Oryctolagus cuniculus: one gene and its partners. The protein of the gene in region 1 purifies or fractionates together with the protein of each later gene. This does not show direct contact. Links are inferred from orthologs where the notes say so. Each region holds a gene or a part of one and is shown on either strand. Other genes may lie near its edges.

The links.
Region 2: the proteins of CYLD (region 1) and SPATA2 purify together in Homo sapiens (affinity purification with western blotting; 10 studies listed by BioGRID and IntAct, with this or other methods). This does not show direct contact. The link is inferred for Oryctolagus cuniculus from reciprocal best matches to the Homo sapiens genes CYLD and SPATA2.
Region 3: the proteins of CYLD (region 1) and SPATA2L purify together in Homo sapiens (affinity purification with mass spectrometry; 3 studies listed by BioGRID and IntAct, with this or other methods). This does not show direct contact. The link is inferred for Oryctolagus cuniculus from reciprocal best matches to the Homo sapiens genes CYLD and SPATA2L.
Region 4: the proteins of CYLD (region 1) and MAP3K7 purify together in Homo sapiens (affinity purification with western blotting; 4 studies listed by BioGRID, with this or other methods). This does not show direct contact. The link is inferred for Oryctolagus cuniculus from reciprocal best matches to the Homo sapiens genes CYLD and MAP3K7.

Annotation. Positions count from the first base shown.
Region 1 is NC_091449.1:34,338,575-34,342,649, forward strand, and holds part of CYLD (ubiquitin carboxyl-terminal hydrolase CYLD), read left to right. Parts: intron 1-2,282; coding exon 2,283-2,374; intron 2,375-3,223; coding exon 3,224-3,290; intron 3,291-4,075. UniProt on the Homo sapiens protein: Deubiquitinase that specifically cleaves 'Lys-63'- and linear 'Met-1'-linked polyubiquitin chains and is involved in NF-kappa-B activation and TNF-alpha-induced necroptosis.
Region 2 is NC_091442.1:10,692,676-10,697,316, forward strand, and holds the start of SPATA2 (spermatogenesis-associated protein 2), read left to right. Parts: upstream 1-1,541; 5' UTR 1,542-2,781; coding exon 2,782-3,371; intron 3,372-3,807; coding exon of another isoform or gene 3,808-3,947; exon of another isoform or gene 3,948-3,988; intron 3,989-4,641. Other genes in the region: E3 ubiquitin-protein ligase RNF114, read right to left, coding at 826-976, 3,808-3,947.
Region 3 is NC_091449.1:69,310,395-69,315,124, reverse strand, and holds the start of SPATA2L (spermatogenesis-associated protein 2-like protein), read left to right. Parts: upstream 1-1,554; 5' UTR 1,555-1,700; intron 1,701-3,014; 5' UTR 3,015-3,015; coding exon 3,016-3,318; intron 3,319-4,067; exon of another isoform or gene 4,068-4,730.
Region 4 is NC_091436.1:81,893,969-81,898,606, reverse strand, and holds the start of MAP3K7 (mitogen-activated protein kinase kinase kinase 7), read right to left. Parts: upstream 3,207-4,638; 5' UTR 2,795-3,206; coding exon 2,675-2,794; intron 1-2,674. UniProt on the Homo sapiens protein: Serine/threonine kinase which acts as an essential component of the MAP kinase signal transduction pathway. Plays an important role in the cascades of cellular responses evoked by changes in the environment.

The DNA of each region.
Region 1 (4,075 bases):
GTTCACTCCCCAGATGGCTGCAACGGCCGGAGCTGTGCCGATCTGAAGCCAGGAGCCAGGAGCTTCTTCTGGGTCTCCCAGGCGGGTGCAGGGACCAAGGACGTAGCCTATCTTCTACTGCTTTCCCAGGCCACAGCAGAAAGCTGGATTGGAAGAGGAGCAGCTGGGACTAGAACTGGCGCCCATATGGGATGCTGGTGCTTCAGGCCAGGGCTTTAACCCAGTGCACTACAATGCCAGCCCCCTGAGCATTTTTTTTTTTTTGAAGATTTATTTATTTATTTGAAAGGCAGAGTTACACAGAGAGAAGGAGAGACAGAGAGAGAGAGAGGTCTTCCATCTGCTGATTCACTCCCCAATTGGCTGCAACGGCCAGAGCTGTGCTGATCTGAAGCCAGGAGCTTCTTCCGGGTCTCCCATTGTTGGATGCAGGGGTCCGAGGACTTGGTCCATCTTCTACTGCTTTCCTAGGCCATAGCAGAGAGCTGGATGGAAGTAGAGCAGCTGGTACTTGAACCGGCACCTGTATGGGGTGCTAGCACTGCAGGCGGCGGCTTTACCTGCTATGCCACAGTGCCAGTCCGTTGAACTAGCATTTTTAAAAAGATTTATTTATTTATTTGAAGGTCAGAGTGGTAGAAAGAAAGAGGGACAGAAAGAAATCTTCCATCTACTGGTTCACTCCATAAATGGCTGCATCGGCCACGCCTGGACTAGGCTGAAGCCAGGGACCAGGAGCTTCATCTGGGACTCCTTTGTGGGAGGCAGGGGTCCAAGTACTTGGGCCAGCTTCTTTCTCAGGCACATTAGCAGGGAGGAGAAAAAAGAGAGAGAGAGGGAGTGAGGGAGTGGGGGGAGGTTTCATTTGCTGCTTCCCACTCCCCAAATGGCTTCACTAGCTGGGGCTGGGCCAAGCCAAAGCCAAGAGCCAGGAAGTCCATCCTGGTCTCTCATGTGGGTGGCAGCGTCCTAAGCACTTGGATCCTCCTCTGAGGCTTTCCCAGGTGCATTGGCAGGGAGCTGGATCAGGCAGCCCTGGGACACGGGATGTTAGCACTGCAAGTGACTTCAGGCCCTGTGCCACAACGTGAGCCCTTGCAGAAGCCTTCGATCTGTAGCAGCAGAATACTGTGCTGTCATGCGCATTCCCCGTACCTGCTCCAGCACAGCCCTGGGAGAGTGAACTGTGTAAGGATAAATTTCCCTGCTTGTGTCTTTTGTTTCCTTAAATTCTGTAATGAATGCTGTGATATTCTCACTCTTTAAGGTGAGTTGGTTTGCACATTAATTATTTTGTCTTATGCAAAATTTTAAGCATACTTTTTCCCCCCTCAAATAATTGATACTAGAATAAGACAGATCAAGCCCAAAACTTTAAGGAAAGCTACACTCTTTTCCTCCTTCATCCTCGACAGACGTTCTTTGAATACTATTGCCCATCCCCGTCCACTGTTGGAATGCCCTGTTTGGATCAAGTTTACCACATCCACAGCCCTCAGGCCTGCTAGATCCGCATGTTTTATTTGGTCCTGAAGCCTCTGCTTTCCCCATTGCAAGCTGCTCTGGGCAGAGGCCCTGTCTCTCTCTCTACTCCAGTCGTATTCCCGATGGCTGGCAGCTAGGAGTGGTATGGAGGCAGCAGATGCTCAATGTAAGTTGGTTGCAGGCAGCAAATAAGCGAATGACTGGTTAACATAAAAAGTGGATTGGCTGGTTCTGACCTGCTTTCCTGAAGCCCATCATGACCTCCATGTTTTCTTCTGAAGCCATTTTTCACATTTAGAGTTTTGTCCAGGATTGACGTTAAACTGAATGTGGCCCAAATTCCTCCAAACCTGAGTGGAAATGTCCTAGTTATGCTTATTGCATTGCAGATTGTAGACTTGTTAATCAGTTCCCTTTTCCATTTAGGCTATTTTACCCTTCAATATTTATAAGGGCTCTCTCTCTCTCACAATTGTATATTCCATTTTATAAAAGTAAATGCTTTCATTTCTTAAGCAAATCTTACTTAAAAAGTTAGCACAAACTTGTAAAATGTTTTTGTCTTATATTAGTACTTTATTTTGAAGGTGAATAATAGTGTCTGGGATAATTCTGTTCCTACAGCTTTAATTTTTTCAAACCGCAAGAAGTCTGTAATTGCATCCTTCAAATAATTAACTAGCCTATTGATTTATGACATATTGGAGTTATACAAGAATGGTGTGATTATTAAGAAGTGTTATATAATTTAGTATATATGCCAATATCAGCTAATTAATAGTCTTTTACTAACACAGATATGGATATGTGTGTGCCACAAAAATTATGAAACTGAGGAAAATACTTGAAAAAGTTGAGGCTGCATCAGGATTTACCTCTGAAGAAAAAGGTGACTGTCTTTGTTTAAGGTTTATGCATTAAAAATACCTTGAAAGCATATTTGTATGCAAATTATTAGCTGACATGTGTGTCTTTTATTTTAAATTAGAAATTGATTCCTAAGTAATGTATAATTTTCTCCCCTTTTAAAATCAATTCTTGCCTCTTCTAAAAGTGATGAATAATGAACCCCTTAAAGAAGGGGCTAGTTTCTAATACGTGAGTGAGTAGACATAGCTCTGTCTGTAGCAGTGATTCTCTGAGCTGCTGCTCTCTCAGCAATGAAAGCATTTACATTTTCCTACTTACTTTTTCTTATTATAGAAGGAGAATTAAAAAGGCTAACGAGGATAAAGTTTATGCCCAGAGATCAGCGTTTTAATCTCTTCATGGCTTTACTCAGAGATTCAGCTCCTGGCTTTGAACTTGTTAGGAACCTTCTATACCAGCTGTACTGCTTACAGGCTGCATGATTATTTAAATAGAAAGGAAAACAAGGCATAGTACAGATTTTATTCTACATACCCTAAGCCCCCCCAGAGAAATTAAATTATTTTACTATATATAAATCATTATGCTCTTTGAAATGTGAAAAAATGATAATAAAATTGAGGCAATATTTCATTTTTTAGTTTTATTTTTATCATGTTTTTCTGAAAAAGTTCTTTATATCATAGCCTTTAGATGTCCCTTGTATTTCTCCTTTGTCAGGAAAACTTGAAAAGTATGCTTTTAACTGAAAGAATATTTAAGTGAATGGAGCAGAATTTGATATATGAACATGACTTATGAATTTGAAAATTGAATGTGATTTAAAAATTTTACGTGTGACTTATTTGATTTTTTAATTTTCTCCTAGATCCTGAAGAATTCTTAAATATCCTATTTCATCATATTTTAAGGGTAGAACCACTGTTAAAAATAAGGTAACTTTTAGATTGTTACAGAAGCATTGAAAAAAAAAAAAAAGACAGTCTTTGTTTCCAGGGCCATCAGTCAGCAGATGTGCTTTCCTTAGTGGTTATTTACCATTGTATTGGTTTAGGACTGCATGTGTCCTATAAATGCAATGATAAATGCAAAATTATATTAATCATTATGTGCTACAGAGTGCCTCCTTAACTTGAATAAGTCCAATGTAAATTTGTACTTTTAATTTTAACCCTAGTTATAAATATTGCAATTCATTTTCAAATGAAATTGTGTATATATGTAATTTAAATTAATAGGCCCTTTAAGAGAATCTCATTCTAATCTAATCACTATGAGAGCATTGTTTTTTGCCTACCTATCATTCAGAGAATTAATTGAGCCTTAAATTAGCTCTTTTGTTCTCAGCTCTAGAACTCAATCTTTTTTCCCCATGTGTTGAATAAAAACCTTGAGTTTAATGCAGTCATGTTCTTAGTGAGATGTTCTTTTATTTTTTAAAGATTTATTTATTTGAAAGACAAATTAGAGAGAGAGAGAGAGAGAGGTTTTCCATCCACTGGTTCACTCCCCAAATGGCTGCAATGAGAGAGAGAGAGAGAGAGGTTTTCCATCCACTGGTTCACTCCCCAAATGGCTGCAATGCTGGAGTTGGGCTGATCCGAAGCCAGGAGCCAGGAGCTTCTCTGGGTCTCCCATGCTGGTGCAGGGGCCCAAGGACCTGGGCCATCTTCTATTGCTTTCCCAGGCCACAGCAGAGGGCTAGAAAGGAAGTGGAGCA
Region 2 (4,641 bases), on another chromosome or scaffold:
TACCGTGCCCGCCCAAACCGAAGTGCTAAGGAAACCAACAGGCAAGGCCATCCAGGAAGTCAAACAAAACAAACTTGCAAAAGCGAAGAAAAGGTGAAGAAAAAAATGGTCTGATCTCAACTATTTCATCACGATTTCTGTGTGCTGGTAAACATGCTCCACGTGTCTGAGTCTGAGTCCGCAGAAGCCAGCCGAGACGGCCCCAGGCTGCAGCCCCCACTGTGCTTTTGAACCGTGTGCATTTAACGGACAGTGTAATGAGTCTAAAATTAATAAAACTGCACATCTGTTGGGAAATCAGGCACCGGTTATCTGTCCCTCCCAGCAGCAGCTGTAACAGAGGCAAACCACACACGATCGAGCCCAGTCTGATTACCCAGATGCGGCGACACGCCGGGGTCAGAGGCTGCTCACTACCACTGCACGTCACGCTGGCCTCCGTCGTGGCCGCGGCCTGTCGGGTGCTGAAGTGAAACCAACCGTTCTCCCCCCGGCCCTGCCTGCGCAGAGCACGCCTGAGTCACATGTAATATCACGTCACTAGTCTAACTGAACAGTGTACAGTGTTTGGAAAAACGGGTTTTACAGGGAAACTGGGACAAGTGACTTCTATGGCTTTCAAAGCTGGGGTAGATGATGCTAAACCAACTCATAAAAAAAAGCAAAAAAAAAAAAAAAACAAAAAAAAACCCCTACGTTAAGAAAGGAGCCAGCGCAGCGTCACCGCGGACCCGGCATGCACACGTGCGGACACGGCGCGGCCAGCACTACGCTTCCCCCAGCTCAGCTTGGACAGACACGGCTCCTCCGGTTACCTCCACATACATTCTTACGGCAGCCATGGCAAGATGTCTCTGTGCTCTCGATCTGCCGCTCGAGCTCCACGGCCCGGACGCCAGGCGCCAGAGCGCTGCGGCACACCCCACAGACAGGCTTCTTCGGCTTCAGACACTCCTGCAGGCATGCAGAGCAAAAGCTAGAACAAGACACACAGAGAGCCTCCGTCATGCATGGCGGGGACAGACGGCACCAGCGTCCACTTGTACAATGGAGCCACGAGTGATGGACTCAAGACAACTTGCTCCCTGCCCTCAGTCAAGCCCCGAGTCCTTCCAGGCCAGAAAAGCTGGGCGTGAGGACAGGGAGCGCGGTGAGGACACACAGGCCCAGCAACGGAAACACGCAAACCGCCGTCACACAAGGCGAAGGTGCGGGGCCAAGGCTTCAGCTGGCAGCCCCTGCCCCGCGCGATCTCACAGGGGTGGGTGGGGGCTTCCTGCACCTCCACCTCCTCCCCTGTGAAATGGCGTGGGGAGGGTGCCCCTCAGGCAGTGTCTAGCACACACAAAATGCAGGATGAATGGAGCTGCTGGCTTTGAGCGTGAGGGCCGGGTGGGGAGGGGGCAGACCACAGAGGCGGCCTGCGCCATCGGCCTTCAAGGGCTCGGCTGGCAGCAGACTCGACTACTCAGGGTGCACCTGCGGGGTGGGAAGCTAGCAGACCCGCGCCAGCAGCAGGAGCAGACTGCGTCTCCCGCGGGACTGGCGCGGCAGGGACCAATCAGATGGCTCCCAGCAGGGGATCCTGAAGGCCGGGGGAGGCGGAGACCCGACTCAGGGAAGGACTCAAAGGCAAGCAGCAGGACTGGGTGGTTCAGGAATTCGGGGACCGAGAGCTACCGGACGCTGGGTGAGGCACCAAGGCAGCTCCTGAGCAGGACACCTGGGCCGCCCACCTGGCCGCACGGACCCAGGACCACGAGATCCAGCAGGGAGGGCCCAGGGCGCATCACCAGAGGCGACCAGCGCACCTGCCAGGCTCATTCTTCTTTAACTAAGAACACCTTCCTCTGCCATTAAGCTCGACGCTAGTGCTGCTGGGGACGGTCAGGCCGGGCTGCCAGGTGAGAGGGCTCGGCTCAGCCCGAGGGAGAGGACAGAGAAAGCCCATTCTCACGGGGCCTGCGTAAGGTGGAGGAACACAACTGTTCACTGATGCAGTGAGGAAGTCTAGGCAGGGAATGAGACAAGCCAGAGCGCGCCTGGGGGACCACCGGAAGCTCTCTGAGGCCACATTTGGGCCGGGGCCTGGCTAAGAGGGGTCGCTCGCTGATTGCAGGCAGAGGTGACACCAACCAGAGGCGCGGCAGGAGGGGCAGGCGCCCGACCCTGCTGACAGAGGCAGAGCCCAGGAGCCCCCAACGCAGAGGGTCCCACAGCACCGAGACCAAGGCCCGCGGGCAAGCACCAGGGAGGCACCGCCCCTGTTCCCCTCAAGTCACCAGCGCCGAGGGACACCCAGCAAGCAGCAGGGGTCCCAGGCTGGTTTCAGTTTCTATTTCCTCCTCACCGGCCTCCCTCTGGCTCAGCCTTCCAGATGCTCCGCCCCTTCTGCCAGGCACTCGGCCACCTGCCCCTCTCCGCGAGAGCCCAGCGGACCGGGAGGGTGCTGTCCTCCGGAACTTTGAGATGAAGTCTTACAAACCCCAGTGCCCAGCCAGAGCCACGGTGGTGCTCAAGTCTCCAGCGACCCGTTAAAACCCAGCGAGGCCAGGACACAGCTCTCGGCTGGGGCTCAGGGAGACGCGCTGCGCCCCACGGCGCTCCCACCTGCCGTCCATCAGCACGGAACTGCTGGACACGTGCAGCCTGCACGGCCGGGAGGAGAAGCGAGCCGCGGCCTGAACCCCAGTGCCGCTGCGGCCCCCACCCAGGAGAGGGCCGGCGGCTCGACGCTGGGCCAAGGCTTCCGAAAGCTGTTAAGTGAATGGACCCCGCGGGATGGACACGAAGCTGGGTGGCCCTGCGCCGAGGTGCGCAGGCTCAGAGCAGGCGGCCGAGCTCCACTTCCACGCCGGGGACCCACTCCTCAGCCCGCCCCTTCCGCGGTCACGCGGCTCCTCGAGGCTGCGGCCCTGCACAGGAGGTCTCCAGCCGGGGCGGCACCACCTCTCCCCAGCTCAGCCGAGCGCAGACGCCGAGGGCGGCCATCTCCCGAGACCCCGAGGGAGGGGAGGGATGGCCACGGTGATAGCGCAGGGACCCGAGATCCGAGGGCAGAGGCGGGAGGCGCACGGGGCAGGAGTCCGGTTCCAGGCTGGCCAAAGGGCGCAGCAAGCAGCCGGCCTGGCCGCAGAGCCTCTGCCGGGTGCCCGGCGTCGACTACCCTGTAAAATGGCTGCCAGCCCCCGCCCCTGCACAGGTGCCCCCTGCAGACGACCGCCTGTGAGTGCCTACAGGTGCGCTCGCCGCCGACCAACAGAGGATCCCCGGGCCCCCGCCAAGGCGGCGGCCGTGCCTAGCACAGGGAGCCCACAGAGGAACAAGGCCTTGCGGGGAAGCACGACGCAGGTGAACCCGTTCGCCTACAGGTTTGCTTGTTTTGTTTTGTTCTTCTCTTCCCCTAGTTTTAGGAGCGTCTGTCGGAGCGAGGCCCCCGCGCGGCCCCCGCTCCCGGGCCAGCCCCCCACTCCGAGAAGCACAGCCCGGCGCGCCCCGAGCGGACTTCCCTTTCATTATTTCCCCCTCCTTCGGCGTTTCCCCATTTTCAGTGCGCAACGCCAGCCCCGACGCCCAGAGCCCTAGCCCCGAGGCGCATTCTGGCTCTCCCAGGGCGGACCTCGGCCCCTGCCCGGCGCCTCACGGGCCGCCCGGGGGCAGTCGGCTGTGCCGGCCCCGCCAGCTGCCACCCCCCAGGCCCGTCCTTGCGCCTCCGCCCCGGAGACCCTCCCCGTAGGGGCCTCGCTCCCCGGCTCCGCTCCCCTCCCAGCCGGGCGCCCTGCGGCCGGGCGCGAGCTTGCTGCTTACACGTGTCCGCAGGGCACCTGCACCGGCTTCTCGTACACCTCTAAGCACACGGGACAGGTGAAGCGGCCCAAGGGGTCGGCCTCCGCCGCTGCCGCGGCCAGCGGAGCGCCGCCCTCACGACCCTGCTGCTGCGCCGCCATCTTGCCGCCGCTCAGCTCCGCGCAAGGGCGGTCGGGAAGGAGGCGCTCGGCGAGGGGGCGGGTCCTCGGCGGCGACCGAGCACGCGCGTGGGGGCGGGGCGGAGCGTGCGGCGTGCGCCGGTAGGGGCGGGGCTTGTAGGTCGTGCGTGCGCACGCTGGGGGCGGGCTAGTGGCGGGCCACGCCCCCCGGACGCCGTACGGAGCTGGGGAGGGAAGTCTGGGAGGTGCGGACCCCGAAGGCGGCGGCTGCCGGTCGCGGCCGGTTTTCCAAGCTGAAAATGTTAGCTTCGCGCTAGCTGCGCTGTGATTTCATGCTTCTCTTCGAATCAACTCCATTCGATTCATATAAGCCTAACCGACATTTTAAAAATATATTTTCATTTTATTGCAAAGGCAGAGACTAGATGGGCAGCGGAGGAGCTGGGACTCGAACCGAGCACTCTGATAGGGACCGCGGCGTCCCAGGCGGCAACCTCACTGCCATGCCGAGTGCCACCCGAGCTTCAGTACGTCGTAAAGGGGAGTTGATGTCTCTCCTGAGCTGCAGCTGTCAAATCAATGTCGCAAAATCCATTGCGATGGGAACAGGATTAATTCACCTTGGGAGCTGTTGATGGTCAAAGGGGTCTCGGCCGTTATTAGGTGTGGGAGCTAGCCAACAGCACTTTTACTAAGATTTATTTATTCATTTGAA
Region 3 (4,730 bases), about 35 Mb from region 1:
CACAACCTCAGACCCATCAGACTGGTGACACTGGACACACGGTGTGGGGATGTGTGCGGTGGTGGGGGCAGGAACCAGCAGGCAGTCCTGGGCCAAGGCAGGGACCAATGGCCTCAGACCTAGCGATGGCCTCCACCTTCTGAGGGCGTTGGAAACTGTGTGGACCGAGGTCCAACAGCAGGATGTGTGTGCAAACGGGGGGCGGGGGGATGTCGGCCCTAGGAGAGCCGAGAAGGAAACTGAACACAGATGACCCAGGCCTCAACACTGGCTATCACACAGCTGTCACTGTGTGGCTGGGCTCCAGCTGGGGCAGCCTGCAGATGGCCAGGCCCAGCTGTCGATCTGACACTGCAGCCTGACCCCGGCTGTCAGTGTCACTTACCCAGCACTAAATAAATGGAGTACACAGAATATGTGAGTATCCTGAGACGCCCCCTAACAAAGTATCACAAAATGTGTGGCTTAAAACAAGTTCAGAATCTCAAGAGCTTTGCGAGGCAGAAATGTGAGCCGAGCGCCCACAGGCTGCACCGGTCTGAGGCCCAGAAGGCCCCTCCCTCGCCTGCATCTGCCCTGGGAGCTTCCGAAAACCCACGCAGTCCTTGGCTCCGAGCTGCATCGCTCTGGTCTGCCCCTTCCCTGTGCATCTGTGTCCATTTTTCTATTTGCTTGTTAAAGATTCCTTATTTATTTGAAGGACAGAGGGACTGAGATCTTCTATCCACTGGTTCACTCACCAAATGGCCACAACAGGTCAGAACCAGGCCAAAGCCAAGAGCCAGGAACTCCAGCTCGGTCTCCCAGGTGGCGGGCCCACCAGACGCGCAGGCAGGAAGACGAGTGGGAGGCGGAGCAGCCAGGATCTGGAGCGGCGCTCCCGGAGCCCAGGACACCGGCCCCTCGATTTCTGCTGAAAACGTTCACTTCCTTATTTGAATTTACTTGCGAGCAGACAGAAACGGCTCCCCTTTGTTGGCCTGCCCCCAAACGCCAGTAACAGGATCCCAAAAGTCTAGGCGGTTTCCCACGTGGGCGGCGGGCAGAATGCGGCACCGCGGGCTCCCGGGCGTGCACTGCAGGAAGCGGAGCCGGGCCCCCGCCTCTCGGGCTGTCTTCACGGGCTCACGCCGCCGAGCTGCCCGTCCGCGGCAGCCCCGAAGTCTCCCCGGCGGCGAATCCTGCCGGGCGCAAGTTCCGAGAGCAAACCCGCTTTCCCTCGGGACGGCCCTCGGTCCCGGCGCTCGCGCCTGGGCGGCCCGGGAGGGGCCCAGGGGACTCTCAGGAGCCCGCCTCGCGTTATCCTGGGCCGGGGAGGTCAGTCCCGGCCGCGCGCTGAGGCCGGTGCTCCTGGACGCCGCTCTCCTCAGCCGGCCCCGGACGGCCCGAGTGGCCCGCGTGTACCCGAGAGGCGGAGACGGACCTGCCGCCCGCTGGCGCACTCCCCAGGTGCCCGCGACCCACGCCGGGAGCCGCACACGCCGCCCCGGCTCCGGAGTTCGAGAATGGCGCCCGCCCCGAGCGCCGCGGCCCCGCCCCCCAACAGCCGGCCAATCCCCGCCCTCCGAGGAGGCTGCACGTGACGCCCTCCCGCCCCTCGACGTCACGGCCTGTGGGCGGAGCCGCGTCCCGCGGAAGCGCGTGCCGAGGAGGAGGCCGGCGCACAGAGGTGGCGGCTGCCGGACCCCGGGGACAGACAGGTAGTGCTTTCGGCCGTGGGATCCAGAGCCCGAGGTCGTGGGCGGAGGAGGAGGCTCAGAAGGCGCGAGCGGGTCTTCGAGGAAGGGGACAGCCGTAGACACCTGGGCGCTCAGCGGCCAGGGCCTGGATCTCCCGGCGGGGCTGGGCTGAGGGTGCGGGGGGCGCTGAGCGGGCGGATGCTGGCTCCCCCGGCGGGGCTGGGTGGACTGTGGGTGCTCAGCAGGCCGATGCTGGCTCCCCCGGCGGGGCTGGGTGGGCAGGGGGCGCTGAGCCGGCGGAGGCTGGCTCCTCTGGCGGGGGGTGGGCAGGGGGCGCTGAGCGGGCGGAGGCTGGCTCCTCCGGTGGGGCTGGGTGGGCAGGGGGCGCTGAGGGGGCAGATGCTGGCTCCTCTGGCGAGGGGTGGGTGGGCAGGGGGCGCTGAGGGGGCGGATGCTGGCTCCTCTGGCGGGGCTGGGTGGGCAGGGGGCGCTCAGCGGGCGGATGCTGGCTCCTCTGGCGGGGCTGGGTGGGCAGGGGGCGCTCAGCGGGCGGATGCTGGCTCCTCTGGCGAGGGGTGGGCAGGGGGCGCTCAGCGGGCGGATGCTGGCTCCTCTGGCGGGGCTGGGTGGGCAGGGGGCGCTCAGCGGGCGGATGCTGGCTCCTCTGGTGGGGCTGGGTGGGCAGGGGGCGCTCAGCGGGCGGATGCTGGCTCCTCTGGCGAGGGGTGGGCAGGGGGCGCTGAGCGGGCGGATGCTGGCTCCTCTGGCGGGGCTGGGTGGGCAGGGGGCGCTGAGCCGGCGGAGGCTGGCTCCTCTGGCGGGGGGTGGGCAGGGGGCGCTCAGCGGGCAGAGGCTGGCTCCTCTGGCGGGGGGTGGGCTGGGGGCGCTGAGCCGGCGGATGCTGGCTCCTCTGGCGGGGGGTGGGCTGGGGGCGCTGAGCCGGCGGAGGCTGGCTCCTCTGGCGGGGCTGGGTGGGCAGGGGGCGCTGAGCCGGCGGAGGCTGGCTCCTCTGGCGGGGGGTGGGTGGGCTGGGGGCACTGAGCCGGCGGAGGCTGGCTCCTCTGGCGGGGCTGGGTGGGCAGGGGGCGCTGAGCCGGCGGAGGCTGGCTCCTCTGGCGGGGGGTGGGTGGGCTGGGGGCGCTGAGCCGGCGGAGGCTGGCTCCCCCGGCGGGGCTGGGTGGGCAGGGGGCGCTGAGCGGGCAGATGCTGGCTCCTCTGGCGGGGGGGTGGGCAGGGGGCGCTCAGCGGGCGGATGCTGGCTCCCCCGGCGGGGCTGGGTGGGCTGGGGGCGCTGAGCCGGCGGGGCGCGGCCTCACACCGCGCTCCCGCCGGCAGGATGGGCAGCAGCTCGCTGTCCGAGGACTACCGCCTGTGCCTGGAGCGCGAGCTGCGGCGCGGCCGCGCGGGCGTGTGCGGGGATCCCTCGCTGCGCGCCGTGCTCTGGCACATCCTGGTCGAGGACTTCGACCTGCACGGGGCGCTGCAGGACGACGCGCTGGCGCTGCTCACCGACGGGCTGTGGGGCCGCGCCGACCTGGCGCCCGCGCTGCACGGCCTGGCCCGAGCCTTCGAGCTGCTGGAGCTGGCCGCCGTGCACCTGTACCTGCTGCCCTGGAGGAAGGAGTTCACCACCATCAAGGTGGGACTGGGTTTCAGGTGTCTGCAGGGTGCTCAGCCCACGGAGGGACCTCGGGGGCGCCCTGAGGTCTGCCTGGGCAGTCCCGGGGCTGAGAATGTGGGTGCTCGCCTGCTTTTATCGCTGTCCTCCCTAAGGGGACCTCGGGGCATAGTTGCCATGGAAACTCTAGGACAAGTTCAGAGGTGTGTGTGTAGAGGGGAGACTTAAGGTCCCTGAGTGGTCCTAATTCCACCAGGACGTGGGCTGACCACTTCCATAGAGGAGGCTGAGGCCGGCCCCCTGCGAAACGGGAGAGTGCTGGCCACCGGTTCCGAGGCTGCGGACAGCGGGGCCTGGCCACTCTAAGCGCGCTGCTGGCCAGCAGGCGGGGGCGAGGCTGCTGGCGCTCAGAGCTAACTGGGAAGAGTAGGAAGGCGGTGACGTCACTGCACGTGGGCAACATACGCCCCCGCGGGTTGCCATGGCAGCCGAGCCACCGCTCTATCAGGACACCTGCTGGCACGGGGTTCTAGGACTTTGATTCCTCCATTCACACAGGAAAGGAGGGGCCTGCCGCCCCTGGGGTCAAGCACAGAACGGACCCCTGTCCTAGAGGCGTCAACGCCAGGAGCAGCTGGCTTCCGGCCGCTCCTGGTGTGCGGCTGTGGACCAGTACCTGATCTTCCTGAACGTGTTTCACTCCTGGGAAAGAGACAGAGTCGTGCACTGAGGCACGCTGCGGAAGCACGGCGGGAGGACTGCAGGTGCCCCCGGGTCACGGCCCAGCCCCCTGACTGTCCTAGCAGCCTTTAGCTCTACACACACCTGTGTGGTCTGGAGCGCACCCTGCCACCTGTGACACACGCACACAGAGCTCACCCTTCCACCTGTGACACACACACACACCGAGCACACCCTGCCACCCGTCTCACAGAGAACACACTGCCACCTGTCACACAGCGCACCCTGCCACCCGTCTAACACACAGAGCACACCCTGCCACCCGTCACACACACAGAGCACACCCTGCCACCCGTCTCACAGAGAACACACTGCCACCTGTCACACAGCGCACCCTGCCACCTGTCTAACACACACACAGAGCACACCCTGCCACCCGTCACACACACAGAGCACACCCTGCCACCCGTCTCACAGAGAACACCCTGCCACCCGTCACACACACAGAGCACACCCTGCCACCCGTCTCACAGAGAACACCCTGCCACCCGTCACACACACACACAGAACACACCCTGCCACCCGTCACACACACACAGAACACACCCTGCCACCCGTCACACACACACACAGAGCGCACCCTGCCACCTCACACACACACAGAGCACACCCTGCCACCTGTCTTACACACACAGAGCGCAGCCTGACACCCGTCTTTCACACACAAACACACCCTGCCACCCGTCACACAC
Region 4 (4,638 bases), on another chromosome or scaffold:
ACTGTCTTTCGATTTTTCAATGAAAATGAAAATACATTTTTAAAGAGTACCAAATGAATATTACTGAGTCACACTATTAAGAACCCAAAGATTAAAAGCAGCGGATGTTTTAGACATTATATCTACTAAATAATTGCCTATTTGGCCTCCGGTTGGGATTTCTTTTTAAAACAGTTTCTGTGGGCCGGCATTGTGGTGCAGAAGGTTAATCTGCTGCCTGTCACCCCAGTATCCCTTGCTGAAGTACAGGGTTAAGCCTCAGTTGCTTCACTCTCCATTAAGCTCCTTGCTCCTGTGCCTTGAAAAGCAGCAGAAGATGGCTCAAGTGCTTGAGCCCCTGCACCCATGTGGGAGACCTAGAGGGCCATTTAGGGAGTGAACCAGAAGATGGACGATCTTTCTAACACTGCCTTTCAAATAAATAAATAAATAAACCTAACAGAAAACAAAAAAAGATACTTTCTAGTTATATTGCTACAATATATTGATATAATTATTCTTGTTATTTGACTATATATAAATATAGCATATGGTCTTAATTTAAAAGACAATGTACTTCTATAAATTGAAAGCAATATAAAATAATTTTTGTTTCTGGTCATCCTTCTCTGTTCACTTTTTATGATTTAATCTAGAAGACTGAGAAATAGTTGCTGAGTGCTCTTGATTATATAGTATGCAAAGGAAGAGTATGATGGAAATTATGTAGTGGTTTTTCAAAATCAGAAAGGTGTAAATTCAGGATTTAAAGGGAAAACAAATCGGATATATAAAAATGAAAACCAAAACAAAAACCCCTAAATGCCTAATATTAGAAAGAAATTCTCATCTGAAAACAAAAATCTACTCCTTAGGAATATCCTCCCCTCAAAGTTGAAACATATCTGAAAGAAGGGTCTTGGAAACATAAAAAGCTAACCAGAAGTGAAAAGGCTTTGAGGGAAGAATATCAAAATGGCAAATGTCTCCTTAATAACTTGCATTCTTCCATGAAGCAAGAATCCAAAAAGCTTTAGAAAGCAGTTTGTAAAAACTAAGGTTGTGAGAGTCAAGTAATTTTGTGAGGTAGACCACGGAGTACAAGTTATTATTATATAATAATTTCTTGTCTACCAGCATAGCAGTTCACCACAGAGTAGACGTAAATGCTTATTTAAAAACTGCAATTCTTGTAGACTGACTCATTCCATTTTTATTCTTAAAAAAGAATGTTAGCCATTAAAGCTGAATCAACTATCCACTTCTGAAAAAGGAATTTATCATAGCCTCAATAGGAAAAGAAAAAAAAAATTTTTCCTCTTCAAAATACAGGTCTTCTTTTAGTTAGCTATGTGACCTTAAAGCAGGTCATTGCTCCAGTCTGGAATTAAGTTTCCTAATAATATGTGTCAGGCATTGTTGGGTGTTTTGCATATATTGTTTAATAGGATCTGTTATATGGATAAAATAAAATAGAATATTATTATCTCTATTTTACACTTATGGAATTGAAAGCTCAAAGGAGTTAAGAAACTTGCTCCCAAATTACACAGCTAGAATGTGGTATATCGGATATACTGAACCTTTCTAAAACTAAAAAGAAAGGAAGAAAGGAAGATAGAAAAAGAAAAAAGCATTGAATGTTCATTAACTCACTACTTTTAACTGGCTGTCATGTAAATGCAATTTTATATTTTTAAAATAGAGACAGCTCTTTGAGAGTCTATTATGTTTCACCAGGATTTAACAAGGTTCTTAATGGTACAGGTAGAGCAAAGTGCTTAATAAATTTTATAGCGAAAAATAGCAACTGTTTGACAGATACTATCCCCAACTAAAAATTTAACAAGTTCCACAGTGTGTCTTTAAAATGCATATTCAGTTTTTACTTTTCTAAATTTTATGGTCCTTAGAACCAATCTACCCCTTTATGAACTAGAAAAGGAGAAATGTATGAAAAGCACAGATACTTTGATCTGTAATAAATTACTGCAGAACACAGAATGGGTTCCAGACAGAGAAATTCGGCGACATTCTGGCTGTCACCAGAAATGATAGATACGATGGATAACTGGATAGGAAAGCAGCTGGTTATCAGCAAAACCAACAGTTATCTTTTCAGAATATGCTACTTGAAACTTCTTTTCATCGTAGACCAGTCGGCGTTACCACGGGTGAAATTCATCTAAAACAGCTAGACACTGAATACTGCGAGTGCTGCTCTATGATATCGGAAAAACAGAGTCATTCGGTACTAAGGGAGAACATTTTATTAGAATTGATGACCTAGTAACTTGGCAAGCATTTACTGAGCATCCCTTACGCCCCAGGCACTGAGCTGGAAACCGAACATAATACCATCGTTGGCCCTTCGCGTCTAGCGAACTCCAAAACCGCCAGTCTTCACGGAATTTACTTACAGGTATGAGAACTGGCGGGTCACACTACCGCACAGTTCATTCTGTTTGAGGTGACCCAAATCCAGGCACCAGACTATCTGATCCACACTCATGAAGAGTGTCGGGGTAAAGAAAAAAAAGAGACAGCTAGCGGGAGCAGTCGCGCCTCCTCCACACCCCGTCTCTGAAGGGCTGGGGGCACTCCTGGGTGGACCCCGCCGGGCCCCTTCGGAGCCAGGACCAGGCAGAGGCAGGGACCGCCCAGGACGACTGTCTCCGTGCTGGGGCTTGCTCACCTCTTCCACCTCGATCTCCTTGTAGTCGATCTCCTCAAAGTTAAGGACCTGGGTAGGGGCTTCGATCATCTCACTGGTCGAAGACGAAGAGGAGGAGGAGGCGGCAGAGGCTGTAGACATGATCCCTCGCGGCGCCCGGGGGGCCCGAGGACAGTGCCGCCGGGACAATCCAGGTGAGGCTCGCGCCCACCCTCCTCCGGACCGACCTTCAGCTTGGAGCCGCGCAGCCCTGCCACCCAGCGATCCGTGGCCGGGGTGGGGGCTGCAGCCACAGCCGTGTCCCGGCTCCGGCGCCGCTGCGCTTTCCGCTGCCGGGCCCGCCCACTGCACTTCCGGTTCCGGTCCGAAATCGGAAACAGGGGAGCCGCGAGCCCGAAAGAGGGAAGAAGAGGGTTTTGTGACTTGGAAAGAGAAAGGAGGGACAGACTAGGGGTGGGGTGGAGGAGGGTAAGAGGCTCGCTAGAACATGTAGAACAAATTTCGCGAGATCTTTGTTAAATGGCCTCAGCAAAAGGATGATACCGCGATATCTGACGGCCTGACGTAATTAAAGTGCGCGAGCGGAAGTGGCGTGGAATATGACCGAAAAATCGGCGTGGTTGGTCGCTTAAGAACCAGCGGGAAAGACAAAAAGCTGCGGTTTGATGTCTGCTTGGTGAACTATGTCGTTCCTCCCTTTCTTCTTCTCTGAGCGGCCTCCATACGGACAAGGTGGTGTTGAGCTGTGTTTTTGTGATGAAGCTTACTTTTCATGTTGAGTACTAAACTAAAATGAGCTATTTTTTTCAGAAACCCTGTAAAATGTGCTTTCCTCTGTGTTGTGTTTGGAAGGCAGCAGATGTCTCCTGAATTCTGGACATTTCTGTTTAGATATAACGTGAACACCGAAACTTCAGAATGCCAAAAGCAAGTTCAAAGACTGTCACCACAAATCTGTTCCTTTGTGTGCCGTTCCTATCTCAGTGAAGGATCCCGTCACCTACTCAGTTGTCAATGTGAAAAATGAGAACATGTGGAATGCTGTGCAGAGCACTAGTAACCAAACAAGAGCAGATTAGATCAGTAGAGATCATCAACTGTTGTTTCCCTTGCATTTCCACACCAGGAGCCAACTCTTGTGCTATGACTGAATGGGTCCATATATCGGATTTCTCTTTAATGCTATTGTACCCAGATCGTTAGATCCCGGCAGAGACCCCCAGAGAGTCGATCACACCGAGCTGCAAAAAGCAAGGTTTATTCGGGAGTACAAGCCGCGACAGGGACCCTATCCAACCAACCAGCACAGCAGAGGAAGGAGTGAGGCCCCGGTCTTTGGGAGAGTTTTTAAAGGAAAAAAAAAAAAAGGGGGTGTTACATCAGCAGGAAAAACAGAGTTGCATCAGCGGGGGCTTACAGCACGGAGCTTTGGGTACAGGGAGTTACTTTGTTTAGCAATCTCTACTGCGCTCTCCTAGGTCTACCGAGCTAGCTGTCCCTGGTAAGCTTTGATATCTCCGGAATGCCTGAATGCCTGCTTTTACAAGGACCCGGGTCTGCTATGGGAAATGGAGGCTGCTTTTTTTATTGTTTTAAAATGGAGTCACTTTGGCTCTTCAATGCTTTAGTCTTAGTATAATGGATTCTGCCAGATGGGGACTCAGGAAATGTTTGTAATTTATTCTGGACAAATGAATAGCTTTTCTCAGTCCTCCCTTTCCTTAGAATGTAAGATCAGTTTCCTATACCTACAGTTTAGGAGTCCACCTTTTACATTTTATTATTCTTGCTCCATCATTTATTTGTCACGTTATTCATCCATACATCTCTTTTTTGTTGTTGGGTGCTTTTCAAAGTGAATTGTTTGGGGGCCGGCATTGGTGTAGTGGGTAAAGCTTCCACCTGTACTGACAGCATCCTGTATGGACACCAGTTGGAGTTCCAGCTGCTCTACTTCCTATCCGGCTTTCTGCTGTGGCCTGGGA